Linked DNA regions of Notamacropus eugenii. The protein of the gene in region 3 interacts with the protein of the main gene of each other region in a pairwise test. Links are inferred from orthologs where the notes say so. Each region holds a gene or a part of one and is shown on either strand. Other genes may lie near its edges.

What was found.
Region 1: the proteins of TRIP10 (region 3) and SH3BP1 interact in binary tests that used the Homo sapiens proteins (3 or more experiments, as listed by UniProt). The two-hybrid records come from large-scale screens. The link is inferred for Notamacropus eugenii from reciprocal best matches to the Homo sapiens genes TRIP10 and SH3BP1.
Region 2: the proteins of TRIP10 (region 3) and ARHGAP17 interact in binary tests that used the Homo sapiens proteins (3 or more experiments, as listed by UniProt). The link is inferred for Notamacropus eugenii from reciprocal best matches to the Homo sapiens genes TRIP10 and ARHGAP17.
Region 4: the proteins of TRIP10 (region 3) and ABL2 interact in binary tests that used the Homo sapiens proteins (3 or more experiments, as listed by UniProt). The link is inferred for Notamacropus eugenii from reciprocal best matches to the Homo sapiens genes TRIP10 and ABL2.

Annotation. Positions count from the first base shown.
Region 1 is NC_092874.1:294,919,054-294,926,949, reverse strand, and holds the start of SH3BP1 (SH3 domain-binding protein 1), read right to left. Parts: upstream 3,013-7,896; 5' UTR 2,812-3,012; coding exon 2,750-2,811; intron 1,840-2,749; exon of another isoform or gene 349-1,839; intron 175-348; coding exon 132-174; intron 1-131. UniProt on the Homo sapiens protein: GTPase activating protein (GAP) which specifically converts GTP-bound Rho-type GTPases including RAC1 and CDC42 in their inactive GDP-bound form.
Region 2 is NC_092872.1:60,714,650-60,722,289, forward strand, and holds the start of ARHGAP17 (rho GTPase-activating protein 17), read left to right. Parts: upstream 1-4,631; 5' UTR 4,632-4,806; coding exon 4,807-4,859; intron 4,860-7,640. UniProt on the Homo sapiens protein: Rho GTPase-activating protein involved in the maintenance of tight junction by regulating the activity of CDC42, thereby playing a central role in apical polarity of epithelial cells.
Region 3 is NC_092875.1:75,265,655-75,273,619, reverse strand, and holds the start of TRIP10 (cdc42-interacting protein 4), read right to left. Parts: upstream 3,015-7,965; 5' UTR 3,000-3,014; coding exon 2,961-2,999; intron 2,030-2,960; exon of another isoform or gene 1,957-2,029; coding exon of another isoform or gene 1,933-1,956; intron 1,622-1,932; exon of another isoform or gene 875-1,621; intron 1-874. UniProt on the Homo sapiens protein: Required for translocation of GLUT4 to the plasma membrane in response to insulin signaling. Required to coordinate membrane tubulation with reorganization of the actin cytoskeleton during endocytosis.
Region 4 is NC_092873.1:466,391,526-466,399,286, reverse strand, and holds the start of ABL2 (tyrosine-protein kinase ABL2), read right to left. Parts: upstream 3,008-7,761; 5' UTR 902-3,007; coding exon 778-901; intron 1-777. UniProt on the Homo sapiens protein: Non-receptor tyrosine-protein kinase that plays an ABL1-overlapping role in key processes linked to cell growth and survival such as cytoskeleton remodeling in response to extracellular stimuli, cell motility and adhesion and receptor endocytosis.

The DNA.
Region 1 (7,896 bases), on a different chromosome or scaffold from region 3:
CTTCCTTCGAAAAGAAATCCAGTCCAGGAGGTTCTGGTGACTCATCCCACCCATTTGGCTACCTCCCTCTGCCTCTCTGCTCTCCTGTACAGGCCTGCCTCTCCTCACTTCATTTGAGCCCATATCCATACCTGAAGCAAGTCCTCGCTCAGAAATTCAGCAGTCTCTTGGACACTGTGGGGACAGAGAGACTGGGTGAGGGGAGAATTTGGAGACCTCTACTCCACCTGCTTTCCTGCTTCCCCAGAACTCCCTGACAGATATCATGATGTAGGGGACTTGGAATAAGGAAGATGTAGCCTTGAAAGCTGTGTGACTCGGGACAAGTCACTGGCCATCTCTCTGTACCTGTTGTCTGTAAATGAGCAGTCAAAGTAGTTGTCCTCTGAGACCCCTGGGAATTCCAAATCTATGATCCCGTTGCCAAGTCTGGACTGGGGTGGGGGGGCACTTCAGGGTGACCAACTAAGAGCTGAAAGGGGATTGAGAAGAGAGTGGAGAGGACAGGAACCCTAGCTGATCTGTCCATTCAGAAAGGATTCTGCCAGTCCCTCCCGATCGCTGTCTCTCACTCATTCTTCCCCACACCCCTCCAGCCAGAGCACATTCCAAAGCAGTGGGGAATCCAAAGTCGGGCTGCTTCCTTCTCCACCCAGAGCTGCACCTGGGAACTCAGGGCAGGGCAGCAGGAAGGGCTTCTCAGGGGCCCCCAGAGCAAACCTGTAAGGGCTGCCATGATAGGGAACAGCTGGAGTAAAGTCTGGAAGGAAGTGGGGGGAGGGAGGATAGCTTCGCTTCGGGGATAGAAGAAAACACTAAAAAGAAGTTGAGTTTGAATGTTGTCTCAGTGCTCTGGGCCAATCTGCCCTCAATTGCCTCATCGATAAAATGGCCTCTGAGGTCCCCTGCAACTCCACTTCTATGCTCCTATAATCTTAAAGCACCTCAGTGTCCCCCTCTGTAAAATTCATGGATTGGGTTAAATGGTCTCTGGAATCTCTTACAGTACTAAAGCTACGATCTGAAATCACTTCCCCTCTAAGTCTCAGTTTCCTTCTTTGTAAAAAAAAAACAAAAACAAAAATATGGGGCTTAGCTTAGATGGCCTCTAAACTCCGTCTCAGATTGAAATGCAGATTCTTTTCTCCTCACTTCTCCCTCACCCCCAGCTTCTCCAGCACAGCCCATAACGCACACTGAAGTCACAGAACTGCAGAGTCCACTGAGCCCAACCCCCTTATCTGAAGGATGAGGAAACAGGTCCAGAGAAATGACTTATCCAAGGTATCATAAGCAGTAAGTAGCAAAGACAGGATTACAACTCAGGTATCCTGGCTCCCAGTGAGTTATTCCAGCACCACCACCACCACACACAACATAAGAGAACTCTAGGTCCCATGAGGGGATGGGGAGGGAGTCAGGGCAAGGCCATCTGGTTTTGGTTTTTGTAAAGCAGATGTTTAGAAACTTAGCCCTGAGAATGGGACTGGATTTTTACCTGACCCTGGGAAAAGCAAAGCAGAATTCAGAGGACTGACATCCTGGGGGGGAGAAGGGGGTTGGAGACAGGAAAAACAAAGGCATATGGGAATAAAAGCTCTTGGAAGGCTTTCTTCCCCTCTAAGAAGTCCCCCAGGGGTCATTGTCTCCAAGGAGCCAGGGTCCGGCCAGACTCTCCTCTTCCCCCCTGTCTCCTGGGGTCTCAGAGTCCCATTATCTGCTTGCTCCTTTCCAGGGAGAGTCCTAAAACCTTCAGTTCTTTAAGTGGTCCAAACTGGGGTTGGGGGAGGTGGATGGGAGAAACTAGCCCAGAGTCCCAGGCAGAGTGAGAAGCTAGCTATCCTGTCCCTGACCCTCCCCTCCATCAGCTCAGGGCTAGCCCCACCCCCACCTCTAAAACTCTGAACTACAGAAACCTGAAAGGAGGCGGGCAAGGGGAGGTTAGGGAACAGTTTCTAATTTCCTCAGCTGTAAATGAAGGGATTAAACTAGATCTAAACTCAGCTCTAAACACTAACTTCCTCTGTTCTAAGAACTCTGCAAGCTCTGAAGTGAACCGTTCTAAGATTCCTCCCAGTTCTGACATTCCAGATTCTAAGGGACCTCTCAGTTCTGACATCTCTTTTTTAAGGATTCTCCCAACTCTGCCTTTCCAGGTTCTAAGGCTCCCAGCTCTGAAGTTCCTTTTTCTAAGAGCCCTCCCAGCTCTTACAATGTGAGTTGGGAGGCCCCATGCTGCTGGGACATTCTCTGTTCTAAGGCCCCTCCTAACTCTGACTCCTAAATTCTAAAGTCCCTCCTAGTCCCCTCCTCCATGGGTGGAGATTACTCCTGTTCCTAACCAAGCCGGACCCCCTTCTGTAACATCTTGGGGGGGATGGGCTGAGGACTCCAAACCTCTCGTTCGGTTGGGAAGGAGTGGGGAGGCGGGGAGAGGGGCGGCTCTGGGTTACACCGAGTCGGGGCCTTACCTCACGAGACTTCCCTTCCCAGAGGCCCTCTTTTGGGGGGGGGGGGGGGGGGGGAAGAGGTGTTGAAAGAGAAAGCAAAGGGAACAGGTTGTAACCCAGGGTTGGGGTTTGGGGTGGTGTTGGCTGCCACTGAGGCAACTGGTGGTCTCAACCCTAATTCTGCCCCCCCCAACACACACACACACACACACACACACACACACACACACACACACACACACACACACACACACATCGCGCGTCTCCCACCACCGCTGCCAGCTCAGAGCCACGCTCACCGTCCCGAGCCCCCAGTCTGGGACAGCTGCAGCCGCATCCGATTAAGCTGCCTCTTCATCATCTTCGAGGGCTGGGGTGGCCAGCTGGCGGGAGGGCTGGAGAGACCGGGGTGCCCCCCGAGCTGCTCATAGGAGTCTTCGAGCCGCACGCTAAGCTGTGCCCCGGCAGACGGACGGGCGGACGGAGGGACTGACGGCCGGTCCAAGGCAGGGAGGGAGGCAATTTTTCTCTTCCTGGCGGAGCCTCTGTCTCTCTCTCCTCCTCCTCCTCCTCCTCCTCCTCCTCTTCCCCCTCCCCCTGGTCCGGCCTCTCCTCTCCCTCTCTCCTCCCCCAACCCAGGTCACCACCCTCCTCCGCTAACTGTGCCTCCACCCCCACTCCTCCGTCTTTCGCTCTGTCAGTCTGTCCGTCTGCCTGTACTCCAGTCTGGCTGACTTCCCCCGTCCCGCCTTCGAGTGCCCCCTAGTTGTGCCTGTCCCCACCTGCGGCGGACAGAAAGAACTCCTGGGCCGCACCTGAAAGGGGGAAACGAGGGGGCAAGCCCGCACGGGGCCCGGGCCTGCTTCTGACCCGGGCACGGTGCTCCCCCCACCCCCATTCACTCCCTCGGCTTAGGGCCTGTTCGGGCGGCTCCTGGGACCTGGAACTCTCTTGGGTGACAGAGAGCGCGCTGGATTTACAGATGGAGTCCGTAGGTTTAAATCCAGCTCTACCGAGGCAGACTTGCTGTGTGACCTTGGGCAAGTCTTTGCCCCTCTCTGAGCCTCAGTTTCCTCATCTGCAAAAATGAAGGGGCTTCAATCTAAATAATGTCTAAGCCCTCTCCAGTTCAAATTCAATGACCAGAATCCCTCCATTCATGGGATCTTGTCTGGACGATGCTGTCCCTTCCCCAACACACATTCTAATCGGTGGGCTAACCTCCACCTTCTATTTTTCCCAGTTTGTGTTTTCAGCATTTCCTATTCCTTATCTCCATCCCCACTTACACTGGAAGCAACTCTGGGGGACAGATAAAAATTATGAGGGGACAATTTGACTTGGAACCAGAGGATCAGGGTGAGTCCCATCTGCTTTCTTTGGCCTGATCCCATTAGATTCAACATGCATTGACTACATGTTATTAACTGTGATAAAAGGAGAAATCGGAACAGGAGGGACCCAGGCTTCAGTCTCACTGATAGTATCAGAGTTCAGATCTCACCACAGTCACTTGACACTCACTAGCTGTGTGACCTTGAGCAAGTCACTTAAACCCAATTTTCTCATCCTGAGTCATCCCCAGTCATCCTGATGAATATCTGGTCACTGGATTCAGATGGCTCTGGAGGAGAAGTGAGGCTGGTGACCTGCGCAGCCCTCCCTCACTCAAAACAAAAGTCAAATGCAAGTCATGTCATCATTTCTCTGATGGCAGTGAAGGACAAACAGATATCAGAGCTGAAATTCACAGCTTCTCTGTCACAATCTTCAGAGTAGACTCTACTCTGGCCCTGACTAGATGGGCTACATACATACAGTGCACCTGTGACCCTGGACAGAGGGAGCTTTGTTGGAGTCAAAGGTCATGGGTTTCACAATCCTACTTCTGCCACTTATTGCTTTTGTGACCTCAGTTTCCTTATCTGTAAAATAAGGGGATAAGATTTAATGACCTCTAAGATTCCTTCCAACTCTAGATCTGAACTCCTATGACTGCACTTCAGTTTCTTCATTTATAAAATAGGGAGAATTACATATATATCTCAGAAGATTTGCAAATATAAAACCTTAAGTGGCTACTCAAGAAATTTGTAAGGCATCTAAAACTAAGATTACCTTAAAAAGGAGAAAAAGAAAGAAAGAGGATGGGACCAGGAGACCAGGTTCTACACCTGACTGCCAGATTCTTATCAAGTCTTTTCCCTCCTCTGAGCCTCAGTCTCATCTGTCAAATGGGCATATCCTGGACCTCACAGAAGTTCAGGGATACTGAGTTTTTTGAAGAGCTGGGCTTTCCTTCCTAAAGATGTTTCATGTCTCACACAGCCACAGTGCCCCCCTCTTCCCATCTTCTGCTGGGACTGCTGGGACCTCGAAGGGAGAGTAACGGCAGCACGGGGTGTGCACCGGCAGCATGGGGTGTGCACCAAGCACCAGGAAGAGGAAGTGGGCCTCAATGTAATATGCTACTGACCCCAGGGGACTTCCCACCAGGGCCCCTTGGGGAGGGAAGTGGGAGCTATAGATTCCTCTCACCCTACCCCCAAACCTCATCTAGACTCTACCATTCCTTTAGCTCATGGAGCTCTGGCCAGTGCTCCTTCCCCTTAATACCTCATTAACTTTCCAGGAGATAGGTAACATGTCACAGCTGCAGGGCACCTCACTGGTCATGTGGCCCAATTCCCTCATTCTGCTGATGAGGAAACTGAGGCCCAAAGATGAGCAGAGACTTGCCCAGGATCCGACCCAACCACCGCCAATCCAGATCTGGTTAACAATACCACAATGCAATCCTTAATTTTCTAGATGGGAAAACAAAGGTCTAGACTCTAGAAAAATTTGGTGAGGGGCACTTAGCACCTTTCTCAAAGGCACACAGCGAATTAGTGGGGAACAAGCCTGAGTCTCCACCCCCCACTAGTCGAGCTGCTCAGTGTGGCCAGAGAGCCTGATATTCATCTATTTGATCACAGAATCCTGATTCTTCCTTCTCTGGTTCTTCTCTCTTTTCCTTTTCTCCTTACTTCCCAGATCAGAGGAAGGATCATGGGGTCTTATATTTAGAACTGGAAGGGGTGGAGGCCTTAGGGAGAGAGATATCGCAGGGGAAAGGGTGTCCTGGGCCCACGCTCAGAAAGCCTGGCTTCAATCCCCTGTTCTTACTACTGTGGGACCCTGCTCAAAACGTCCAACTTCCCTAGGCCTCAGTTTCTTTTTCTGTAAAATGAAGAGGTTGTACCAGATGCCTTCTGAGGTCCCTTCTAACTTCTCATTTTATGATTCTTTGACAGTGGATAAGTCACCTTTGCCTCTATGGGGCTCAGTTTCTCCATTTGTAAAATGAAAGGGATGGAGTATTTGACCTTGGAGATCCCTTCCATGAATTATAAACATTTAGTTCAACCCCTTTATGTTAAATGAAGCAAGTGAAACCCAGAGTAAGACAGCTGCCCCAAATCACCCCGCAAATAATAACAGAGTATTGAACTGTGGTCCCTCCAACCCCAGGTCTTTCCCCAGTGGAAATGCAGGATCCCCAGTGGGGAGGCCTCAGATGCTGATTAGAAGACTGTCACAGACTAACTACTTCCTGCCAGCCCCAAAGATCTCCAAGGGGTATGAAAACAGAGCCAGAGGCCAAGGGAGCTCCTGCTGGAGGATCAAAAGCTCAGGCGGGGGGACAGGCAAGAAGCCTACGGGCTGCGAGGTTTCCCCTCCCCCACTGAAAAGTGGAGAGTGGAAGCCTTTCTGAAAGGAAGAAAGGGCGGGTCCCAGCTAACTTCCCCAGGAGGCTGAAATCACCTCACTGCTGCTTTAGTTCTAACAGTTAGAAACTCGTGCTTCCGGGCACTTGCTTGGGGTGAGAGTCTGGGATTTCGAGTCAAGGATCTGGGTTTGAATTCTGAGTGTTCCTTCCCTGGCTGTGGGATCTTGGACAAGAGGGCCTTTTCTCCTCTCTGGGCTGCTGTTTTGTCTTCAGTAAAATGCAGGGACTGAATGAATGAAGGAGTTCTTCATGTCTATCTGGTAGTCTGGACCCCTTCGGCAGTCAGCCTGTGGAGCCCATCCTAAAATCTTGTTTTTAAATACACAATAAGATACACCAGATTACAAAGGAAAGCAACTATATTGAGAGAGTTGTCATGTTTTTAAGTTCACTGGCCCTGGGTTAAGAGCTCTGGACTAGATAAGCTCTTTGGTCCCTTTTAGCTCTAAGCCTCATGGTTTACTTCAAGCACCTCTGATTTTGTGGGGGTGGGGGTGGTTTTAACAGAGGCCTTGGTGATTTGGCAACTGGCTTCCGAGAGCTTCTGTGGGTACAATATTCCTCACTCCGTGACCATGGGTTTAGGACCATAGGATTTAGAACTAGGAGGCAGATGGGGAATCCGAGATGGGGGAAGATGAAGGTGAAACAGATGACTCAGTCAATCCTTGGCTGACAGACATGGTCCATCATCTACTGGTGGCTGGTAGCCTTTCCAAGCAAATGGAAGGTCTTTGAGCAGTCCTTGTATTCCCCAGCACATAGTAGGTACTTCAGTACATGTAATATCATCTATGAACCCAGGGTCATCTCCACATCATGATGTGGCTTCCTGGAAGAAATCCCACAGTACCAGGACCCAAGAGTGACTTCAGACAGTGAAATCCTGGTCTAGTATAGACTGTTTAGACTGGAGAAGGGAGTTCAGAATTCCTGGGTTCTGGCCCTGCTTTTTCACCCCCAGATCATATCATATGACCCAAGGGAAGCAGCATACTCAAGCAGAACATAGACTGTGGGATAGCATTCCTTTTCATATCTTCTGTGCCTGGCTCATGCTTGTATAAAGAGTCAACAAAGTATGATTTAGAAAATCAAACCTGCTGGACTTGAAATTAGACTATCTGGGCTCCCAGTCCTGCTGCTTATGATCTGGATATAATGTTGGGCAAAAGAATAAAAACTTGTGTTTCTACACCTTTTAAAGATTTACCAAGTCCTTTACTCAGGAGGATTACTGCCCCCATTTCACAGATGAAAAAACAGAAACTCAGAGAGATTATAAGACACCCAAGGCCATAGAGTTCATCAGTGGCAGAATCAAAACTCCAAACCTCCTCTTTCCATTATGCCAAGCTACTTTGACCTTTCTGAACCTCAGTTTATTTATCTGTAAAGTGAGTCTACCTCACTGGGTTCAGACTAGGCAACCTCAGGAGATGCTTCCAGATGAAACAGCCTAGAAGCCTTAGGTTATAAGGTCTTAACTCTAGACTGGAAGGTACCTTATTGGCTATCTAGTCCAACCCCTTTATTTTATACAAGAAGAAACTGAGACTGAGAGAGAAATGACTTGCCCAGGGAATAGGTGGCTGAGCCACAATTTGACCCCCAGGCCATCTTTCCATACTGCCTCCTCACAAAAACTGTGTCCCAGGTTCCTCTTTTAGAAAA
Region 2 (7,640 bases), on a different chromosome or scaffold from region 3:
CTATCTCAGCCTGACCATAAAATCACAGCAGCCTTGGAAGACTATTTAATAAAAGTTATAAATGGCTATGATTTGTGAAAGTTAGGAGAATCCATATCAAGGAAACTATAAGTCCTTGGCATTTTTAAGAAGAATGTAACAATTATAGAAGACATTAAGGAAACCTAGAAAATCAAGAACCACTCTTCTTAGAATTTCACATTGCTAACCAGGTATTGAATATTACTAGCAGTCACAATCCTAACATGGCAATAGATTAAATGCTTATTATCACGTGTCATTCTCTGACCACAGTTTGCACAATGTTGTCATCCCTTCATCGTAGAGCTCATTTCACAAATAGCCAGCTCTTTTATTTAAGGGTAAATTCTAGTAAATATGGAAAGCTGAGCTTTTAAAATTGTCTTTATGCCAAGTTAGATGGTATATGTAAAAGCATTTTGTAGATTGTAAAGGGCTTTTCAGATGCATGGTATCATTATTATTAATAATAACTTATCATTGTCATCCGATGTATCACCTTCAAGTATTAGCCAACCTTAAATTACATCTTCTCTTGGATATTTATCACTCTTAGGCCATTTGGGTGTTCAGGCAAACACAATTAATTAGTAGGAGTAGTAATAGTGATAGGTGTTTAAGGTTTATAGTGCAACATCTATGTTTGCAACACATTTTACATGAGATTCCTGTCAGGTAAATTCATATCATCACCTAATATTGAAAGAGACTCTCAAAGGTAAAAAGACTTGACCAAAGCTCCTGTGAGTCAGTGGCACAGCTGTGATTAGATATTTAAGTTCCTGATTTCAGTGTTTGAATGCAACTTGAAAGATCATATTGCTTTTGGCACCAAGCAGACAAATGGGAAGAAAAACTTCCTAGTCATCTTCTATGTTTTATTAACTATACTATATTATATTTCCTTTATTCTATTTTATTATATTTCAGTCCTTAACCCATTCTCCTCAACACCGTGAAAGAGTTCAATAATAAATAAACAAATAAATAAATGATGCACTATATTATACAACCAGGTGAGATATAAAGACAAATAAAACACATTCTCTGATCTCATAGAGCTGACAATTTAGCAATGTGCTATGCTCTGACACATCTATAAACATAAATATATTTAAATATAATTTAAATATAGATGTACTTAACAAATATAAACATATTTATATATAAATATGAACATAAACAGATGAAGATACATATAAATAGATCCAGTGGCCATAATATTAAAAAATGATGTGAGACTGGAGGAAGGGAAGATAAAATTTAATGAGTTTAGCACAGTGGCTAGTACATAGTAGGCACCATATAAATAATAATAAAGAGCTGAAAGTCTAACTCCTTTCTGTATAGTACTACTCCTTCCTTTTACAGATAAGGGGAAACTGAGACCTAGAGAGATGAAGTGACTTGGTTGGAATACAGATGGAAGCAGCAGAAGACAGGATTCAAAGCGGTTATCTGACTCCAATATCATTCTGTCTCTGAGTAGGACTCAGTCAGTGAACTGATTTTTGGGTCAATAGCCATGAAAAAGTCGTGCTTTGCGATGTGGCCCCTGTAATTTTCAAAGCCTGGCAATGTTTTGCAGCTCTGACCCTTGAACTTATACTGTAATCTCTTGCTCAAAAAAGAACCATCCTAGCTCTGATTGCAATGTGATTACACTGGTTTCTGGCATTGTTTCCTGATGTTCCACAGCATTATATAAAGTTATGTCTCATTTTGTCCACAGTTTTTTTAAAAAATAAAATGGAACAAGTTGGTCAGAATGTGACAATGCTAAGGAGTTTTTATTGGATGTTTTCAGTTTGTAAGTCTGATTAATTAGTGTACTGGAAAGAATGGTGGATCTGGAGCAAAGGATATGAGTTCAAACCATGACTCTCATTTCCTGCTACCTTAGGTATGCCACTTTATCTAGTTTCTTCATTTATGAGATGGAAGGCTGGAATTAGATGTCTTCTAAGGTCTTTTTTGAATTTAGATGGAAATCTAATGTATTCTTATTTATTTAACAACCACTGATTAAGCAACTATTCTTTGTAATGCACTATATTGCATTATAGGTGTGATATAAAGACAAATAAAACACATTCCCTGATCTCATGGATTTAGTAATAGATTATACTTTGATACTTATATAAATGTCAAGTAGCCATAATATTTTTTAAAATGCTACATGAGATTGGAGGAAGGAAAGATAATGTCCAATGGGCTTAGCATAGTGGCTGGTATATAGTAGGCGCTATATAAATATTTACTCCCTTCCCCTTTCCCCAGTGAAAATTATCAGGCAAGGCTTCATTGAAGGGAGGGCATTCTGTTTAATATGCAACGGCTGAGATGGGAGGATTGGAAATGGGCAGATCTTTACTGAACATAGCAGCAAGTCATTTGAATTGGTGGAGATGCAATGTGAAAGGGGAGCTGTGGGAAACAAGTCTGGAAAGGGAAGAAGGGGCTCCTTTTTTTAATAAATAGGCCATTTTGTGACCATATGTGATTAAGGGTTCTGCTCTAGTACTATAATTGGCTCTGATTCACTCAAGGAAAAATCCCTTGATGATCCAGTTTGGTTTAAATATGTCGGGTTTTCTAATTCTGTGCAGGGAGTTAGACTGACAGGGAATCTTTGAATGCATAGGGCCAACTTGGACTTGGGGTGGGTCTGTAGGCAGAGTTGATCCCTAGACCTCCTTTTCCTCATCTTTTCCCTCTGATACTTCTAAAATCCACTTTATACTATTGACTCACAAGCATGTTATTAATATAGCTTAGACACCACACTCTTCTTTCAAAAACTTTTCTTTTTTTGAAACTAAAAGGCCCTTATAGCTGTTGATCTTAAAACCTGCTCCAATAAAAAGAAATGCCAAAGAAGCCATGAGCTCCCCCTTTCAACAGCACCCCTTATTTCTACTAACTCTTCATCTTTGACATTTCTTCCAAATTTCATATTACCCCAACTTGAGTCAACCCTTTGCTTTTACTCAGTGCTACTGATTTTCCTCAATTTAACTCATAATTTAACTTCAGTTTTTGTAGATGTTTGCTTAGCCTGTGACTTAAACTTAACACTCAGCAATGCCCTCATTCTTTCTCCAAAATAATATTTTAAAAGAGCACCAGAGGGCTTGGATCCTAGATTGGAGGAAGGAGACGATGGGCCCTAAGAGTCCAATTATGCCTGGGCCACTGGGGAAAAAAAACAAAAACAAAAAACTATTCTGTAGCAATAATGACTCCCCTTCAGGATGCCTAGTGAGGTAGATAAACTTGTTAAACAGCTCCTTCCTTCAACCAGCAAATTTGCTTTCCCAATAATGCTGGCAGTTCCATTTATAAAGTAAAGCAGGGCAGAGATTTACCTATTCATTTTCTTTTTTTTCCTTCATCCTCCCTTTGTTCTTAAATTCCTCACTTCTTTTTCCTCCCTACAACTTCTCATCTCCACATGGCTCTCAAGTAGTCAGTCAGTCAGTCACACATTTCCTAAGCACCTACTATGTGCCATACACACACTGTGCTAGCCCTCTGGGGGTACAAAGAAAATTGCAAAAGACAGTCCCTGCTCTCAAGTCTCAGTCTAATGGGGGAGACCACATGCTAACAACTATGCACAAACAAGAAACAAAGAATTGGAGATAATTAAGAGAAGAAAGGCAGTAGAACTAAGGAGAGATTAGGAGAGCCTGGAAGGAGGCTGAAACAAAGAGGAAGAGAATTCCAGGAATGGGGGACTTGATCGCCTTCCTAGACTGATAGGAAATAACCATCCATTCCAGCTGTATAGCATTTAACAACTTTTTAAAGCACTGTGAGATCCATGATCTCATTTGAACCTCATAATGACCCTGAGAAATGGACAGGTCGGAAATTATAATAACCTCTGAGGAAACTGAGGCTCCCTGAGCCTAACCTGCTCCAAGTCATATGGCTAAGTAAGGGAAGGGGAGGAAGCTGGGACCGAAACCTTCATCAGCTGACTGCTAATCTGGTGCATTACAGCACCTTTTATGACCGGAACAGCAGCATGCCACACAAATTGGGTTACAGGGTCCATCTGACCCAGGGCTGTCCCATCAGCCTGAGGTGGGAGCCTCCTAGCATCTCAGCGAGGGCGGGGACTGTCTTTTACCTCTTTTTGAATACCTGGCACATAGTAGGCGCTTCATAAATGTTTACTGAACTGAATTAATTTGTCCAAACTCCATTTGCTTCCATCAGACTCGATCCTGGCCCTGCCTCTCCGGGCAGGGGCTTTCCTCGGAAGTCCGTGCCACTGTCCCCACTTGTAATGAGGGGTGAAGGCTGCTCTTTTCCAGTGTGTGGAGGGAGACGTTTAAATGTCCACCAGGGGGAAAAGCGCTCGCAGGTCAGGGGCTGTAACTTCCCAGGGCTAATTTTAAACCGTTACTATCCCGGCATGTCACCTTAGGAGAAAACGAAACTACCCCAGCCCTGGGGCCCGCGGAGGAGGCGGCCCCAGCCCCCGGGCCTGGGGGAGGGGCGGGCGGCCCCAGTCGGCGGCTCCCGGGCAGGCCTCCCAGACTAGCTCGGAGACGGCCCGACCGGAAGTGACGCGTCTGGGTCCCGGCCGGGGCTGGCCGGGGGGCGGGGCCGGGGCGTCGGCTGGTCCCGGGAGCTCAGTGCGAAAGTTGCTGCCGCCCGGACACTATGTAGGAGCAGGCAGGGCTCGGCCGCACCCCCACTTCTCTGCCCGCGAGCCCCGCCGCACCCCCTGACCCAGGACACGCCGCCTCCCCGGCCCCACCGGACGCCACCATGAAGAAGCAATTCAACCGCATGAAGCAGCTGGCCAACCAGACCGTGGGCAGGCGAGTGACCCCCCCTTCCCCCCACCCCGGGCCATTGCCCCGTACTGCCCCGCCCTGGGCCGGCTTGGTTTCCCCGAGCCCCTGCTGCGGGCTGACCCGCCACCGCCCTCCCCTTCGAACCTGGCGGTGGGCGCGAGCTAGCTCCAGGCCGGGTCCCAGAAGGGTTTCGCCCCCGGCGCGCGGGAGCCTGGCGGGCTCCCCCATCCCCCGCCACTCCCCTGCTCCTTAAGATGGTCCATCCGCAGCGACCCTCCCCGGCCCCGGGCGCACGGGCAGTCAGCCGGCCCTCCTTCTTTCCCGCGTGCACCGCGGTCTCCGAGCCTTCTCTGCTCATGTGCCTGGTTTAAAAAAAAAAAAAAGTGGGGGTTTGGGGGACTGCTGGACTTACCTTTGTTTCTCATCGAGGAGAGAAAAGCAGTGTAATTTCTAGGAAGTTTAGTGTGGGTGGAGGACAGCACTGGCGGGAGGGGGGGGTGTGGGTATGAACTTGAAATCCATTAGAGGAGAGTGAGAAAGAGGAGAGTTTTCACATTTTCAGAAACTTTCTCTAAGATGCTGCCAGCTGATAGGGCCTGACGGTCTAGCGGCTCTGGTCCCTTTCTTGGGGCAGGTTCTTGTTAATTTCACGGTTGATACTTGGCGGTTGGAGTAATTAACAAAGTAGCAACACAGTCGGGTTCCCAGGGATGCATCCTTTTAGTTTTCTGGAGATGTCATTTCGCTGCTTTGAGTTTTGTACCCCACCCAACCACGCCATCCCCCAGAAAGGTGAGACTTGTACTTTCCTCCCGAGACAGAAATTCAACTGAGCTTTACAGTGTTTTGGAGTTAACTTTCTGAGCTTCCTACTGTGTGCCTAGGAGGACGCTATTAATTTCTTGTTTCTTAATAGTGCCTGGTGGTACAAAGTTTATTTTTTAAAATTAAAGAAAGTTCAGATTTTTTTTCCTCTAAATTTAGGGAGGGATTTTATAGCATTTTGGAAAATCACAGACATGCTTCGTGGTCATGAAGCTATCTTCGTGAAGCTATCGGCTGAGAATGTTTTAGAATATGACTGCAACAGATTATTGACTTTCAAAGTTGCTGAATCAGATATATCATCCAGAAAACTTTTTTTAAGTGTCAGATTTGGACAGATTCAACTCTTTTTGCCCTTTTACTATTTTAGTGGTTGTGGCAATGAATGATTAACAGGGAATACTGTAAATTATTAAGTTAGTGTATAAACATTTGGAGAGGACAGAGATTTTGTGATCAGGAATCTTATCTGTTGGGTTTTGGTTGTGGGGTTTTTTTTAACTCTTGGAATTATGTACAAGGTGTCTTGGATATGACAGTGTCTTACTGCCCTTTGAGCTGGAGTGAATATTCAGTGTGAATACACAGAATGGGAAAGGACTTTAGAGAACCACTTGTCTAACCTCCAATTTTACAGACGCTGAAACTGAGGTTTGTAAAAGGAAAATTACTTGCTTAAGGTCACAAAGCCAGATAGTGTAAGAGCTAGGATTAAAACTGAGGTTGCCTTTAACTTCCAAGTCACCATTCCTTCCACTACACCATACTAGTTGGCTTATAATAATTATATTGTTTATTCTGGCAAATTACCTATTTTGTAACTACTGTTTTTTATCAGTTAAATGAAATTGATAATTAGGTTAGCTGCATGATAGACATAATAGACTTTTGTCTGAATTTAACATTTATTTAAAAACTTCCTCTTTGTTTTAATTTGATTTTCACTGTTTCATTTCCTTCAGCTTTTTTTGCTTAGCTTAGTTGTTAAACTCTTCAGTTGCTCCACCCTGCTGTCTTGGTATGCTTCCATCTTATTTTCAGAGTTAACCCCTTCTTCTAAAGAATGTTGGTTCGTTCCTGTGTTACTGGAAAAAATTCAGGCAGGGTACATGTCACGTCACCATTCTGATCCTCAGTTTCCTTGTATATATAAAGCGATGGTCTCTAAAGACTTTTCTAACACCCACAATGTATGTTGGGAGATCCCTTTCATTTCTATCATTCTGTGACTTTGAGTGTAGTCTAAGAATTTGGTGGTTTGCAAAACATCCTCAGAAGCTCTGTTGACTTATTTTCTACAGGATTTACTTATTATTTATATCACTTTCAAGTCTATCCTTGCTGAGTATTATGAAAACAGATTGTCTAATGATACATAGAGCATCCAGGTACCCTATTTACTCAATTAACAATTTTCGCTGTATTTGTTTTCTTCTGAATTACTGGTATTGCAATACAGGAAAAAGGATGCTAGGCTGGAAGCTAGGGGACAGGTTCTCACCCCAACTCTGTCATCATCTAACTGTATGATGTTAGACAAATTGCTTCACTTCTCTGAAATTCCCCTCCTTAAATTGAGGTTGGGTTAGATGCTAATCTCATTCAGCTCTGAAATCAATTGATTCTGAATTTTACTATTTTCTCAAGTTAACACTGATGGAAAGAGCAGTGGATTTAGAAACAGTTCTATTTACTACAGTTTCGAAATTAATTGAATGACTTTCCATCTTGGACCCTAAGTTTTCTCATGTGTGCATGAGGAAGTTAAGCTGGATGATCTGAGGCCCTTCCAGCTCCAAATTCTGTGATCCCGTGAAGACCTGATGTCAACTTACTTTGTGAATTCAGACAAATCTCTCGCCTGATTGGGCCCCAGTTACTCTGTAAAATAATGGATTGGACCAGCTTTTTAAGTATGAAGACACCTCTTTCTTAATGTAAAAAATTCATTCCTCACAGAGTAGAAACATCTTCCCCCCA
Region 3 (7,965 bases):
TGCCCCTGGGCAAAGACCCAGAGACCCAGTAAGATAAGAAGGGGTCTGACCTGGTCAGGGAGCTCAAAATAGGTGACCTATTCCAGCTTTCCACACACACGAGCCTTTCATCTGGCAAGACAACTTAATTCCTAGGGAATGACCCTAGTTCCAGAGCCCCCAGTACAGCCTAGGCCTCAGCTCATCCTCCTCCTATCTAGCCCAGGCCCAAAAGTGAGGGTGGAGAAACTGAGACCATGAAGGGTCAAGACCCACCAAAAATCATGTGTTTCTCCAAGGGAAGGCCTCAGCAACTGGGACCACTTGCTGCTGGTCAGAGCGCCTGACTGAGCCCTGAGGCCAAGAGTCCATGAAGTCAGTGTCCCCCCTCCCCATTTCCATTCCTCCAATCTATCACACTATCTATCCCAGGAGTTCCCAAAGCCAGAGAGTCAAGGAGAGCAGGGGGAGAGCCAGAGTAAGAGCTAGGGGTTGGAGGGGTGGAGAGGAATCTTCCTTCCACCCTGAGATTAGAAGCCCTCCCAGAGGTCCAGGCTGATCGGAGCCAAACTATGAGACATCCATCGAGGACAAACTGGTTTGCCAGGGAGAGGGAGAGAGACAAGAGGGCCAGAGGGCCAGGGGTAAGGAAAACAAAACAGGGGAGAGGAGGGCCTGAGGCCCAGCCAGGGGAAGGGACCCAGGCAGCCTAAGGACTGGGCCTTTTGGGGGTGGGGTGGGGGGAGGGCTGGGATCCCTGGCCCAGGCATTAGGCTGGGAAGGAAATCCACTTCCTGTTGGGGGGGTGGGAGGGGGAGGAGAGCAAGGGATGTAAACACAGTAGCTCAAGCCAAGGGAGGGGTCACTACTGACAAGTCCCCCCAACTCTACCCACCAAAAATCAAGGGTCAGCTGCTGAGTGGTCTGTCCCAACCACTGGAAAATCCTCTGGTTCTCCAGGACCATTAGTCCCCCTCCACCAAGTCTAGCCAGGCCTGGCCTCCTCAGGGCTATGAAGAGTATGGGAAGGAGAGGGATCCCTATAGGACTCCAGAGTCCAGCCTCCACGCACAGACCCAGGAATATACGCCCTCTTAGATATTAGGATCCTGTGTGGGTGGGACAAGAGGGTCAGGGTCCCACTGGCAAAGGGCGCTTTAGAAATGCGGCATAAATAACTGGTTGAGGTCAGCTAGGTCAGTACAAGGGAAAGGGGAAAGAGTTCCTTGGCCCTAGCTCTCTCTGCCACCCTTCCAACCCTATAGTTCAAAAGGGCGGCGAGGCCGGTGACAAAAGGCAGGACTCGAATTCCAGTGGGGAAGAAGGCAAGTGGGAGAAACTGGGGAGGGATAGGAAGGAAGACAAGAGGAGAAGCATACTGGGACGGGAGAGGGAACAGGAGAAAGAAAGAGGTAACTGAGAAAAGTAGGGGCTTAGAAGGACTAGGAGAGGACAGGGAAAGAAGCACCCGGGGAGGGGCAGCAGAGACCTTGCAAGAGGGTCTGGGCAAGGAACCGGGAGGCGAGAGGAGAAAGCAAGAGGAGAAGAGGAACTGGGACAACATTGGGAAGCGGGGGACTGAGAGACGGAGAGGGGGACGAGAAGAGAAGCTGAAATCCAAGTGTAGAGAGCTGCCCGAGGGCTGAGCTAGGGGGAGAGAACTGAGCGGGGGGCACCGGAATAGACGCGGGGGAAACGGAGAGGGAACTGGGGGGAACTAGGAGAGAACGTGGTGGGGAATGGGAAAGAAATGGAGGAGAAATGCCAGGGGGCCGGGGAGAGAGTTGGGAGAGGGGGCCGGCGAGAGAACTAACCCGGAGGGGGAACAGGAGAGGAGGGGGCCAGAACTGAACCGGGACAGGGGCAAAGGAGAAAACTGGAAGGGGGCCCCGAGGAGACTGCGGGGGGTGCCGATGGAAGAAGCGGGGGGGGGGGGGCCAGGAGCAGACTCACCCACAGCTCCGAGCCCCAATCCATGCTGCTCCCGCCGCCAGCCCCGAGACACTGCCCCAGCCCAGCGCGGCCGGGCCCGGCCCCGCCCTCCGCTTCCAGGCCCCGCCCCTGGCCCGGCATAGCCCCGCCCCCTCAAACTAGCCACGCCTTCTACCTCCCCAGCGCCACCGAACCTCGGAATGGAAAGTCGGGGAGAGGTGGGGCCGCGAGTGGGAGGGGAGGGGCATCCACCCCACCCCCTTTTAAAGACCTAGGACTCTTTCTAAAGCCCCGGAGCTACCTCCAGCCACTTAACCCATTCATTATCCAGCTCCAACTGATTTCCTGGGACCTCCCACCCCCTCATTCCCGCTCTCTCCCTCCCCCCAATCTCTTAAAGGGACGAGACGCTTTTTCTGCTTCCCCAAGAAGCCAACCCGTTGCCAAATTCCTTCCCCCCTTAAAGGGACATGGCCAGATTCCCCTCCCCTGCTCCCCAGACCAGACCACACAGAAGAGGAGACAGGAGGCTGAGGTCACTCGGTTATTTTGAGTACAGGGCCAGTTTCCAGACAGCTACCTTGTCGCCACTAATGGTCTCCGGCCACAAGGACAAGAGGGTGTGCGGTGGGAGGCGGGGGAGCGGGAGCGGGGGGAGGTGAGGGAAGGGGGGAACCGAGCCGCTTCGATCCTACCCCAGCCTGACCTCTTCCAAGGCCACCTTGCGGTCAGCTCCATTAGCCACCCCCCCTCCCCAAAAAAAACCCTCTGCTTCCTGGCCCGGTTTGCCCAAACCCCAAGGCCCCCAGCTCCTCTGCATCAGAAATGTAGAGACAGATCGACCTTGGCTGGTGGAGCGGTCCCCAGCCCCACTGCCTTAGCAGCTCTCTCGTCCCGCCTTGCTCAACTCCGTTTAACTCCATTCCATTTCCTGGGATTCAGACAGGCCTAATTACCACCTGATTCACTTCCACCTGGATCGGCCCCAGCCCCCTCCCCCGCCCCCACCCCAGACACCCTGCCCTGAGGGACTGGGAAGTTACTCTCACCTCCGTCCCAGGCCTGGAGACCTCTACCTCAGAGCCCATAAAAGTCAGTTCCCACCTTGTAAAACTCTTTGAGGCGCTGGGATAAAAAGAGAAGGATGGGGCGAAAGGTCCCAACCTGCCCCTTTCTTCCTTCTCCCTCGTCCTATTGCTTGGACTGGCTTTACTTTGTCTGTAGTCTTTAGCGCTGCCTGGGCTGGGGTCCAGGTCTCCCTGGTTCCCAGCCACTTTGGGGTCCTAGATGGAGCCAAAATCATCCCTTCCCTCAGACTACGCCCAAGACCCTATCAGTTGTTGTTCCTTTAAAAAAGTTAAGTGTTTACAGATCCTGGGGAGTGGGGAGAGACAGGTTGGGGGGGGTGTCTGCACTCTGGGGAGCCCACACCCCAAAATTTCGAAGGGCAGACCTGGGAGCCTTGAGGTTCAGTCACCACTGGGACACGTGCCCCACCTACTGGTCATTTGGGAGGCAGGAAACTTGCACCATGCCTAAATGGGGCCGGTGTCCTCATCTGGAAGCTAAAACAACCTAATCTATAATACTACCTCTGTAGGTTCTTCCTATCACCTTAACCTTGTACATATCCCAGGAGCAGTAAGTCCTGCTCCTGAAAAGACAGAAACAGAGCACTACTCCCTCTACTCTCTCATTTGCTTCTTTTCCTCAGTTTCCCCCTTCCAGGAAATGATAGGGGATAGAGACTAGGCCTGTGGTTTTATTAGTAAAGGGAACTAGTGAAATGTGGAAATTATCTCCGCCAATTTGAGTCATCTCCTTCTCTGCAAATCAGAGTCCAGAGCTGCACAAACCAGGAAAAGATTAAGAGACTTGTCCAAGATTACATAGTTTCATGTGTCGGAAGAGAAACTTGAACTCAAGTCATCCTGGCATTTCCATCATTCTGGGATCCAATAAATCCACTACACATTTATTACGCACCTATTATGTGCCAGGCACATAGGTACTAAGTGCACCTAGGGAATAAATGAATGAAATACCAACCAGTCAACTAACGAACATTTCTTAAGTAACTGATAGGTATAAGGTGAACCTTTCTTTCACACTTACTTTGTGCCAAGCACTATGCTCAATTCTGGGGATAGGAAACCAAAAGGGAAATAGTCCCTTCTCTCAAAGAGCTCACATTCTAGTAAAGGGAAATAACCACTTAAGGGGAAACCAGGGAAGGGGATTTTGGTTTGGATAGTTATAAGGATGTTACAGGTTTCAAGAACCAGAGGGAGGTGAACCCTCGTCCAGAGTCTCCCTCCATCTCTGCATCTGTCTCCTTTATCTTCACTCACTTAACTTGTCTCCTAATTCTGACCCTCACCATCCCAGGGAGGTAGATTGACTCATTCTTTCCAATAGCAGTGTTGATCTGATTACAGTCCCAGAGTTAGAGGGGCAGGGGTTTGGAGGCAGCTGGTGAGAAAATGGTGGGGGAGTGGAGCTGGCATGATTTAGTGGGCCACAGCCAGGACCTCACCAATCAGGGTCTCAGGGACCTGAGCTAAAAGGGTTGTGTTCCAGGACATGGTTTCTGGTCCAGGGAGCTGGGGAAGCTGTCATTTTTTTAAGATTCTACCTCCCTCATGCCTAATGCAGGGATTTGCTTTGCTTAACTACACATGTGTGGATGCAATGGATTTTGTTTTTCTTGCTTTCTTAATGGGGGGAAGGGAGAGAATTCAAAACTGGAAAGAAAACAAATGAATTATAAATAAATTTCTTTTAAACAGATTTTGTCTTCATAACATCTTTACATCAATATCTCTATGCCATCCACTTCAAGGCCCTCATTTCCTTTCTCCTGGACTAGCCTTCTAATTGATCTCTCTCTTTTCAGTCTCACCCATCTCTAATTCATTGTTCTAATAATTACAAAACTGATATCCTTAAAGCACTTGGGGGAAAGGAGTTGATCAGGATAATCCTGCTCAATTGTGTCTCACTGATCCACATGGTAAAATCACAAGATATAAACGCTAGGCCTGGAGTCAGAAAAACCGGAATTCAAATGTCACCTCAGACACTACCTATTTGATCCTGGGCAAGTCACTTAACCTCTATTGGCCTCAACTATAAAATGGAAATGATAAAAGCGCCTACCTCTCAGAATTATTTTGAGGATCAAATGAGATATTTTGTGGAGTTTAGCACAGTGCCTGGCCCATGGTAGGCACTTAATAAATACTTGTTTCGTTCTTTCCCTTCTTTGTTCCTTCTCTCCTTTTCTCTGTCCTTCCCTTCCTTCCTTCCTGCAACAAATGGGGAGATAGAATTTATTTCTCATCCTTCCCCACCTCTCATTGGCAGTGGTCCCTTGCAGACAAAGTACATCATAGAAGGGGTTGCATTTGTCCTTCGCTTTCAAAGAAGACCATGACATCAGAGAAATGATGACATGACTTGCACTTGATTTTGTTTTGAGTGAGGGAGGGCTGATAGCAAGGGACAGCTATGGTGTGAAGTGGAGTTGTTGAGTTATTTGAAAGGAACTAAAGTAAGGATCTTGATTGTGAGGGAGTAGGCCCCTGAACCAAGACTCATGCTGGTCCTCAATGGTGGACTCCAACTCTTTCTGAGAGTACCCTAGGCCTGGATGTCAATGGATACCAAAACTGAAGATTTTAGAGGCTTGCCTTGCCTCAGTACCATGCAGCCAATCCCACAGAAGTCCCAAGGGGCCCAGCAGAGATGGAGCAGGACAAGGAGACAAGTGATGGACAGGGTACCCTGCAGCTGTAGTTCCTTCCAGGTTTGTCACCACACTCCAGCATGCTCTGTGCATATAATATTCCTGATCCTGCTGGGTGGCCTGGTGGCAGAGTATACCCCAAATTTACGGAGGAGACATGTTTCTGCTTTTCTTAAGTCTGCTATTTTGTTTTGCTGTGAGCTAATTGTATCCTTGGACTGACTTCTGAAGGTAAACACATCATGCACCATAGCTTTAGGAGTTCAGATTCACAGAGTACCTTGAACCTGGGCTAGTCACTTGGTTATTTAGTACTCTCTGCCTCCTGAATTGACTTTGTATCATTTTACATGTAAATGCTGTTTTTCTAACTGTTTTCCCTTTCATCTGGAAAAAGCACTGCAGCTGGAGCAGAAGCATGGGATTGGGGAGCAACAAGGAACAAAGGTCATCAATTGTCAAATTGAGCAAGGTATTTAAAACCCCTTACCTATGGTGGGTGCACCTACCCACTACGTATTGTCTATACTGTATTTATTTCTCTGTATCCACACTGTATCTTCCCAATAGGATGTGACATCCTGAAAGGCAGGGACTTTTTCCATGTCATCTTCATAGACCCAGCACATAATATAGTGTGCTGCACAGGGTAGATGCCTGATGTTTGCTGAATATAACTGAATTAAGGGGCTAAGAAAGATGAGGTGATGGCAGGACCAAAGAATGTGGCATGAGTTGCTAGGGCTGAGAGAGGAAAGGCTGGGGGAGGGAGTCCAGAGGTACTGACTTTATATACTGAATGGTTTGAAGGGACATGAGATTTGTGGGAGATGGGGGAGAATGGGCTGAGGGGAATGAAAAAACAGAGTGAAAGGGTTGAGGATTCAGAAGGGCAGGAGGTATCGAGGGGTTTTTGGGCCCTGAACAAACCAAAGGAACAGTCATTGGCAGACAGAAGCCTTGTAAATCGGCAGCTCAGAAATGACCATTGAACCTCTGGGAGTTAATTAGATTAACAAGAGCAGACAGTGAGAAAAGAGAAGGCAGCTCAGGACAGAGAATGGAGGTAGTACTTATGGTTAGGGCTAAGGCCATGGATAATGGTACAGCAAAGGAGAAGGAGAAGAAAATGAAGAAAGAATTGTGTCATGAAAGTCAGGAGAGGAGAAAATGCTGAGGAGGAAGGGGTGGTCAACCATATCCAAGGCTATGAGGAGGTCCAAAAGGATGGACACTGAGGAAAAGTCTTCACATCTAACAACAAACCGGAGGATACCTCGGGGTCAGAGCTTCAGCACCAGAACGGACTTCCAAAGCCATCTCCGACATCCTCAATTTACATACAAGGAAACTGAGGTCTAGGAAAATTAAACTTGCCTAAGGTTACACAAGTAACAAGCATCAGAGGCAAGATTTGAACTGAGTTCCTCTGACTCTGTGTAGCTCTGGACCACATCACTCTCTCTCTCCTCTGAGTTTCTGAAGTGCTAATGGAATGAGAACTGAGGGACTGAAGGTTTGGAAAGGTGGCTACCGGCACATTATGTCATCTGATTCTGCTTCACTTTGCTCCCTCTGGGATGAGGGTGGATGATCAGTCCCTAGGGTGCCTCCCCACTCCTGTTAAATGAAATGGTGTATGTCTAATACTTTGGAAACTTTTCAATAATATATAAATGTGATTTTGTATATTATGGTACTTGGGACACCCACCATCTTGCAAATAGGTCCATTTAGAAAAGTTAAAAGGTATTCTGAGAATCCATACTAGTCAGAACTATAGCTCACAAATCCTCATTATTGTGTTTACTTTTACTAGTCAGCTAGTGAACACAATTAGTGGAGGGTAAAAGGCATTCAAAGAATGAATATGGTAAAAAAAAAATAGCAGTAGAATATTTCACCTATTGTTCAAGGACATTTGTTTTGTTGTTGGGTTGTTTTTGATACTTTGTGACCCCATTTTAGGGTTTTCTTGGCAAAGATACTGGAGTGTTTTGCTATTTCCTTCTCCACTTCATTTTACAGATGAGGAAACAGAGGCAAATAAGGTTAAGTGACTTGTCCCGGGTCACACAGCTAGTAAGTGTCTGAGGCCAGATTTGAACTCAAAAAGATGAGTTTCTCTGACTCCAAGCCCAGTGCTCTAGCCATTTTGCCAGAGACTAGCTGCCCAGACCTGGGACACACTCTCCCATGAATATACACACCATTAAGAGCTTAAATTCTAATTGGAGACAACACAGGCAGAAGAGTGGCAGTGCTTTGGTTGGAGAGTTACAGGTATGTAATCATATGGTTAGGGG
Region 4 (7,761 bases), on a different chromosome or scaffold from region 3:
AGCTAAACTCAACTATCATGACTCCCATTTCTATACTCCTTCATATAATTAGTTTCTTGAATTCTTCAGTAACCAAGGTAAGTAATGTAAGTCACTTTAAACCACATATACATTTTACTTTTTAGGAAAACGATTAATAGTGACTTTTCCTTTTCTGCATCCTCAATCAAAATGTGTTGAGAATTATTCAAAAATTTTCAGTTTCAAAATGTCTTATTCAAATATATCAGCTATATTTCTTTAATGAATTTACATTTGAGTCACAAATACTTAGGATGTTGTAGAGAGCAGTAAATGAGCAAGTAACCCAAGTGCTAGTCACAATTATTAATAGCTAAAACTCAAAGTCTAAGGATAAATAAAATGTCTCACCCTGAATACAATACACCAAGAGAATGCAAGTGGAAAGAGTTATAGTAGCAGTCAATGTCCTTAGGTCAATTTGCATGTTCATCCTTTGAGGTATTTTTTTAAGATCTCAGGCTTAAGAAAATAAAAGCCTTGACAGAAAATAACTCCAACAAATCAACAAAAACTTTAGGAATCAACTGTGTTCTCCATAAGGCGTGGATGTTTAGACCAATTATGCTTGCTGTGTTTCTAATGCTAGCTCTTGGCTGTTGTTTTAGTTTTAGAAAAAATGTTTACTCAATGCTTCTTTGCGGTCACAAAATGCTAAAGACAAAATTAACCTTCATTCATTCCAGTTTGCTGGATCTGACATATTGAAAGAGCAAGTTATCAGAACTACATTTGTATATACTGTTTTTGCTTGACCTTGACACACAAAGTAGAAGGTTTCTAAACTCCTCCTTCCTGGAAAGCAAACCAGGAACACAAGTGGCCTGGTCCTGCTGAGCTTTGTGTTCTGCTGGATCAAAAGCCAATATACTGGCATCATTCACTATGGAGGCGGCTGCAGCACCACAGCAGACTCAGCACTATTTCAGCAAGAACTGTAAGAAGAATCAAGTCAGAAGAGTCTCAAATTGAGATTTTTAAAATTCTAAATCTGGCAAAGCATTACATTTGAGAGCGTATTCTCTATGCTTTTATTTAGATGACCAACCCAATATAACAGAATAAAGGTTTGTTCTAATTAGCTCATTATTGGCAATTAACATTCACAGACTGCAAAGATTCAGTGACCAATAAACCAAGGGTTACCACAAGAATCATCAACATTTCACATACAAACATAGAAAGTTAATTTAACAGCAATCAGGAACTCAAAAGATTGTCTCTTTACCTGCAGAGTTAACATGCTCATTGAAATCTGATTAGCAGAAACCATAGAGTAACATTTGTGTATTAAACATAAATCACAAATAACAAATGTATACAAACTACACAAACAAATAACATATGCAATTCCTCTTGGCATAAACGTTAAAGAAAGTTCACAACTTCTGTAACGTTACAATAAAAACTCCTATAAAGTTACCTATTTCACAAACAAACAAAAAGATCACCTACAGTTTCAGGTGATACTAAAAACTACTTGAAAAGTTCTAAGACAAACTTTTTAAAGTACATCAGTTTTTACCTCTATCACCATTATTTTAAAATGTTACCAAACAATATCCTCAAAGGAAAACCCAACCCAACTAATGAGCCCTTTCACCCCTAGTGACATGGGCAGTGGAAGACAGATAAACATTTGAATACTTGGTAATATTTTTATATATTAACCGCTATTGTTTATCACTTTGTATAAAGATGTCTTTGCAATTAAGGTTGTGATAAAAAACATTCAAATTTCAATTTCAAAAACTATCAAAGCTACATTGGATATTTTAAAAAAGCAAACACTCATTCAACAAACATTTATAGACTCTCTGGTATGTGCCAAGGACAATGCTAGCTAGGTGCTTTTGGGGAACACAGGGATCTGTATAAGCTAGGGCTCCTACCTCTGGGAGTTTGCAATCTATAAAGGAAAGAAGATAGTGCAGAAATAACCATACAATCAGTGCACTGATAGGAATAACTGTATCAGAATGCAGATTTCTAAAGTGCTTCCACTGACAAAACAAGACAAGCTTTATTTTACATTGTTACAACACTACAATCAAAAAAATTTTACCCCCAGTTTTCTAAGGAGGCATGGATTAGTTCAATGATTTCAATATAGTAAGTAAGGTTACATTAAGCCTTTATTAAAGGTTCTAAATGGTATTCCTCAAATAATAATAAGGAGTAAAGTGTGACTCACCAATGAAAATGAAACTACTTAAATGTTTTTCAATAAAGAATACTTAGATATAACACACTAATTAGTTAAATTTCTAAATGAAGATTCAGCTAATAACCATTGCTCTCCTGGTCCAAGGACAATGCCTATGATGCCAAGGTTCAATCTTCTGACAGAAAGAATGGATTCCCCCGGACTATGATAATGGGCTCAAGAAGTACATCTGAGTAGCAGTATCATCTTTATATACAAAGATACTGGAAATATGGAATGCAACAGTCACATACCCCAAATCCTCATATTTAACACCATATTGATTTTGAAAAATTTCTGTGCTAGTAAGGGTCAGCTCTAGGCTCTGGAAGAAACTGATGATCAAGGATCCCAAGTACCTCTTCCCTCTACAACTACTCTCACCTAGGCCTCCAAGGGTGTTGATTCGTCTACTAACAGAACTCCTGCGTCATCTTCCCCAAAAGATTTATGAGACCATCCCATGAAGGAGATCCTAATATACTTTAGTCCCACTCCCCAGTCACTTACAAAAAAAAAAAAAAAGACAATCTAGTTTGCCTTTGGAGGCAACAGAAGAAACCTGGGTATAAATTCAGGAGTTTCTCTAAGGACGGACCCTCTCCTTCTCCCTAACCCCCACCCACCTCTGTACTCATAAACTCCCCACTTGCCTACTCATGGCCAAAATGTCTTAAAAGAAAAAGCCTTTCAGTCTACAATTATAGATAAAAGGTCACAAATACCAAAGGAGATAACATATTTACAAAAATCATTCTACTTACTTTAGTGGTCATCAGTTTACCATAAATTAAACATAAATAATAACAGATTTCCCCAGTTTTGATAGGTAATGAAGGAAAGCATCAGGACTTTGAAGAACGCTTGCTCTATCATGGTGTGGATAAAGGATACAAGAAGAGAAACCTGGAAAAGCAGAAGATGAACACAATTTTGTCTAGTCAGACCTATTTACGTCCAATATAAATACAAGTTGTGTATTTGTATACAATACAATGTATACAATACAAATACACTGCAGTATTGTCATATAATATGGGGCAGCTAGATGACCCAGTGGATAGAATGCTGTGTCTGGAGTCAGGAAGATTCTTCCTGAGTTCGAATTTGGCTTCAGACACTCACTATCTGCATAACCCTGGGCAAGTGACTTAATCCTGTCTGCCTCAGTTCCTCATCTGTAAAATGAGCTGGAGAAGGTAATGGAAAACCACTCTAGTATCTCTTCCAAGAAAACTCCAAATGGCATCACAGAAGATCAGATATGACTGAAAAACAATTTAACGTCATATAGTTAGAAATGCAGACAAATCTTATGCATGACTTACAAAGTTTGTTGTTTTTAAGTAAAGAAACCCAGCTGACTTCATACAGATAAGTTTAGCTCTCTGGAGATTTATTCCTTGAGGAATATAATGACATAGGTCATTATATTCTCAAATGTTACATAGCACTATAGAAAACAGCTCATTACATAAGTGAAACTACCTGAAAATACTGTTTCATTTGTATTGGGAACAATGTGGCACAGTGCATAGAATACCAGACTTGGAGATAGGAAAATCAAGATTTGAGTCCTGCCCCTAACCTATACTGGTTATGTGAGTTTAAATAATCACTTTCTCAGTCTCAGTTTCCTCATCTATAAAATGGGAATAATGATAGTACTCACCCACCAGAGTTGTTCTGAAAATCATCAAATTAAATAAAGAAGATAAAATACTACCCCACAGATTTGGACACAAAACTCAAGGTCTTAAAATGCCATTGATAACCAAAAATCTGAAAAGTCATGTGGTATTCTTACCTCTTGAATACCAACAATGATTCACAACATATGATGCTCACAGAAGGGACTGACAGGGCAAGTGGCAAGTAACCAAGTAAAGTTTCAGTTGTAGCGATACCACCACCTAGCTGTATAAATTTTGTTAGAGATTGGACTAGATGAAGTCCAAGATATGTTCTAATTCTAAAATCCTACAATCTTGTTATTGTTCTAGTATTCCTAAGTATTATCTAGAGCACATGAAAAGAATTAACATTTTGGATGAAAGACTAAAATCAGGAAGTATATTCGACTACTTTCAATCCCTGCAATTCATCCACCAATGCAGATCATTACCCACGGTGACATCTCAGATGATGGTAAAAACTTGCTGTGTTTAATAAGAGGTACTACCCTGTTGCCAATCTAATATAATCTAATATAATAAGCCTATGCAAACTTAGCTAAAATGGAAAGGAGATACACAATCTATTATACATCCCATATTCCAAGACTTTCCAAATTGGCAGCATCTGCCAGACCTTAATTTCTACTGCTATAACCTTCAAGAACCCAGAGAATGCCAAGTCACAATGAAGTAGAGGATTTTAATGTTAAGGAATCTACCGTAACAATGTATATAGTGTGTGAAACAAAGTAAAGAAACACAAAACGGTAATTGGCTGTCATTATCATTGCCATACACTGTCCATTTTTCCTGGTTATTTCTGGTTAATTCAACAGACTAAGAGCTAACTACCACCTCTGATGTGCTGTCTACCCATCTGTGTGTGTATATGCGTGTACACACATGCACATAGATGTATGTGTATATATGTATGAGTGCACACATATGTACATATAATATTATATATAAATTTTACATACATCCAAGTATACTGGAGTAGTACAAGTAACTTGGAGTAGTCAGAGAAAGTAGTACTTTAGTCAGTCTTTGAAGGAGATGAAAAGGGAAGACATTTTAGATAAGGGGAACTGTGTGTGTCACAGGATGAATGTAGTGTTTGTGGGACAATGAGAAGTATCTAACTATGGTAAAGAGTTTGGGTGTTACTGAAGAATGCAGATGATTAAGATTGCTATCTGAAGTTAGAACAATAGCTATATAAATGATAGGTATCTAGATTTCTTTCAATATAGTTCTAACTCTAAATAGCAGTTCATGTATCAGTTATAGTTTGAGAATTTTTTATTGTAGATTCCAGGTCTATAAAGTTAATGTCAACTATTATTTCACTATTTTTCCTAAAGCATAATAAGAAAGTACTGCAGATTAATTCAGAATTAACATGAAATGTTCAATTTTCTAAATAAGGGCTCTTTATTTTCTTCCATATCTGTCTACTCTTTTTGAGTTATCAATTGAGTATCACAATATTTCTCTTCCCTTTAGAAAGGGGTAACAACTGTAAAGCACTTAGAACAGCACCTGGTACACAGCAGGTGCTTAATAGATGCTTGTTCCTTTCCCCCCCTTCCTCCTAAGGATCAACTTGCAACTTCTAGGATAGTTAGTATCTCTCTATTCTCAAATGTTACATAGCACTATAGAAAATAGCTCTCATGCACCTATCACAGTCCATTTTCTGTTATAGTTATTTGTGAATGTCTTATCTCCCCTACTGGATTATAAAATCCTTGAAAACAGAAATGTCTTTTATATATATATATACATATATATGTATATATATATATATACACATATATGTGTGTGTGTGTATATATATATATATATATATATATATATATATATATATATATATATATATATATAGTATCTTATATATTGTATTGTATCTTTGTACAAAACCCTTAGGGTTGAATGTCATGCCTCCCTCAAAACAGGTGCTCAGTAATATGATTGTTAAACCACTTGGATTTGAAAATGGCAACACTATTCTCCTAGTCACTCAGACTTGAAACTTTACAATCAGGTTTGACTGATTCTTATTTTCATTTTCTACAGGCAATTACCAAATCCCTACTAGTCTTCCTTGAGACATCTTTCATACTCCTTCCCTTCCATTTCACTGTCACCAAGTCAGGCCAATGCTAGTCATTTCATGCTTAGATTACTGCAACAACCCTCTATAGCTGACCTCATCAACTCATCTCCCCCAATTCCAATCCATTCTGTATAGCATTGTCAGAATAAGCTTTCTTACATTACTTTATGATCAACAAGATTTTTGCCCTCTCAATAAAGTTGTGAGGAAGGAGCTTTGTAAACTGTCAAGTACTATATAACTGTGAGCTGCTATTTTAATTGTGAGAGCATTCCAACCTTTCTAAGCTAACTTGCACTGAATAAATTATGCTATAGGATCCTATATATCTATACCCTGTGAAAACTGTCATTCAGAAAAAAAAATCTGAGACAATCATTTGAATGTGTAACCTTCCTTTCCTCTGTCACAAATTCTAAGAGAACATTTATTGCCATTGCATCAACTATCACCTTCTTCAGACCCTGGGGGGACTTTGTGCTCAAAAGATCTAGTAAACAGCTGTGCCCCCCATTTCACACTCCCTGCTTCTAACCTAGCTCTTGCAGCCATCACCCAGGGAATTAATCTGTATAGAACGGTAACCCGGAAATTACTTCTGCAGGTTCTGCAGCAACCAGAGCTAGAGACAACTCAGAAAAGATAATTCTCAAAGTCCTTAGAACTGTCAAAACAGCTCAACCTCACAGTTTCATCAATGGAAATGATATTAAGGAAAAATGTATGACCATCTACTTCACTGCTGAACCCTAAAGATCACAGGACCTTTCCAACTTACTCCTATACATGCTGTCTCCCCCTACCATAATGTGGACTCCTTGAGTGTATCCAAGGCATTAACTTTATATGTCTTCACCTGTGGTAAGAACTTACTAAGTGCATTTTAACTCATTCAACATCATGCCAGTCCTCTCCTCCAAAATTTTCAAATGTTCTTTGCTACCAAATCAACTCTAAGCTAGCTTTGAAGGCCTTGTATGGTTGCACCCTACCACCTCACCATCCACATTCTCCAGTAACACTCAAAACAAAATCTTCACCCTCAGTGTCCCACAAACACTACATCCATCCTCTAAGTCTTTACTCTCATCTAAAATGCCTTCTTCCCTTTTCCCTCCTCCTTTCCACCATCTTCAAAGCCCAACTAAGGTCCCACCTTCTGTATCTCTCTTCTCAACACTGATCTTAAATTATTCTATAACTGTTTCACATGTGTTGTTCTTATCTCCCCAGCTAGACTGAAAATTTCTTAAGGGGAAAGAACATGTCTTTAGGTTAGATCTATTTCTCAATCAACAATTATTCATTGAGTACTAACATGTGCTACATACTACATAAACAAATACAGTATACAATGTAAATGGGAAATAACATGGGCACCAGTAATTGGGGAAAGAGAACAAATGACAAGGAAAGGCTTCCCTGGGGGACAGCACTTGAGCTAAATGTTAAAGGGAGTTGCTTAGGGATTCAAGGCAGAGGCAATGAAGAAGTACATTAGAGGCATGAGGAATTGTCTGCAAAAGCTAATAAAATGTCTCGAACAAGGTATATGTAGCCAATAAGCCCTTTTAGTTAAGACTATAGAGTGTGAAGGAGAATAATGTGTAAGAAGTCAGTAAAGACAGACTGGGGAGAGATGAAGAGATTTAAATGCCAGAGATTATATTTTGTCCTAGAGGAACTAGGGAGCCATGGGATCTTGTTGAAGAGGGTAGTGACATGGTCTAACCTGTGTT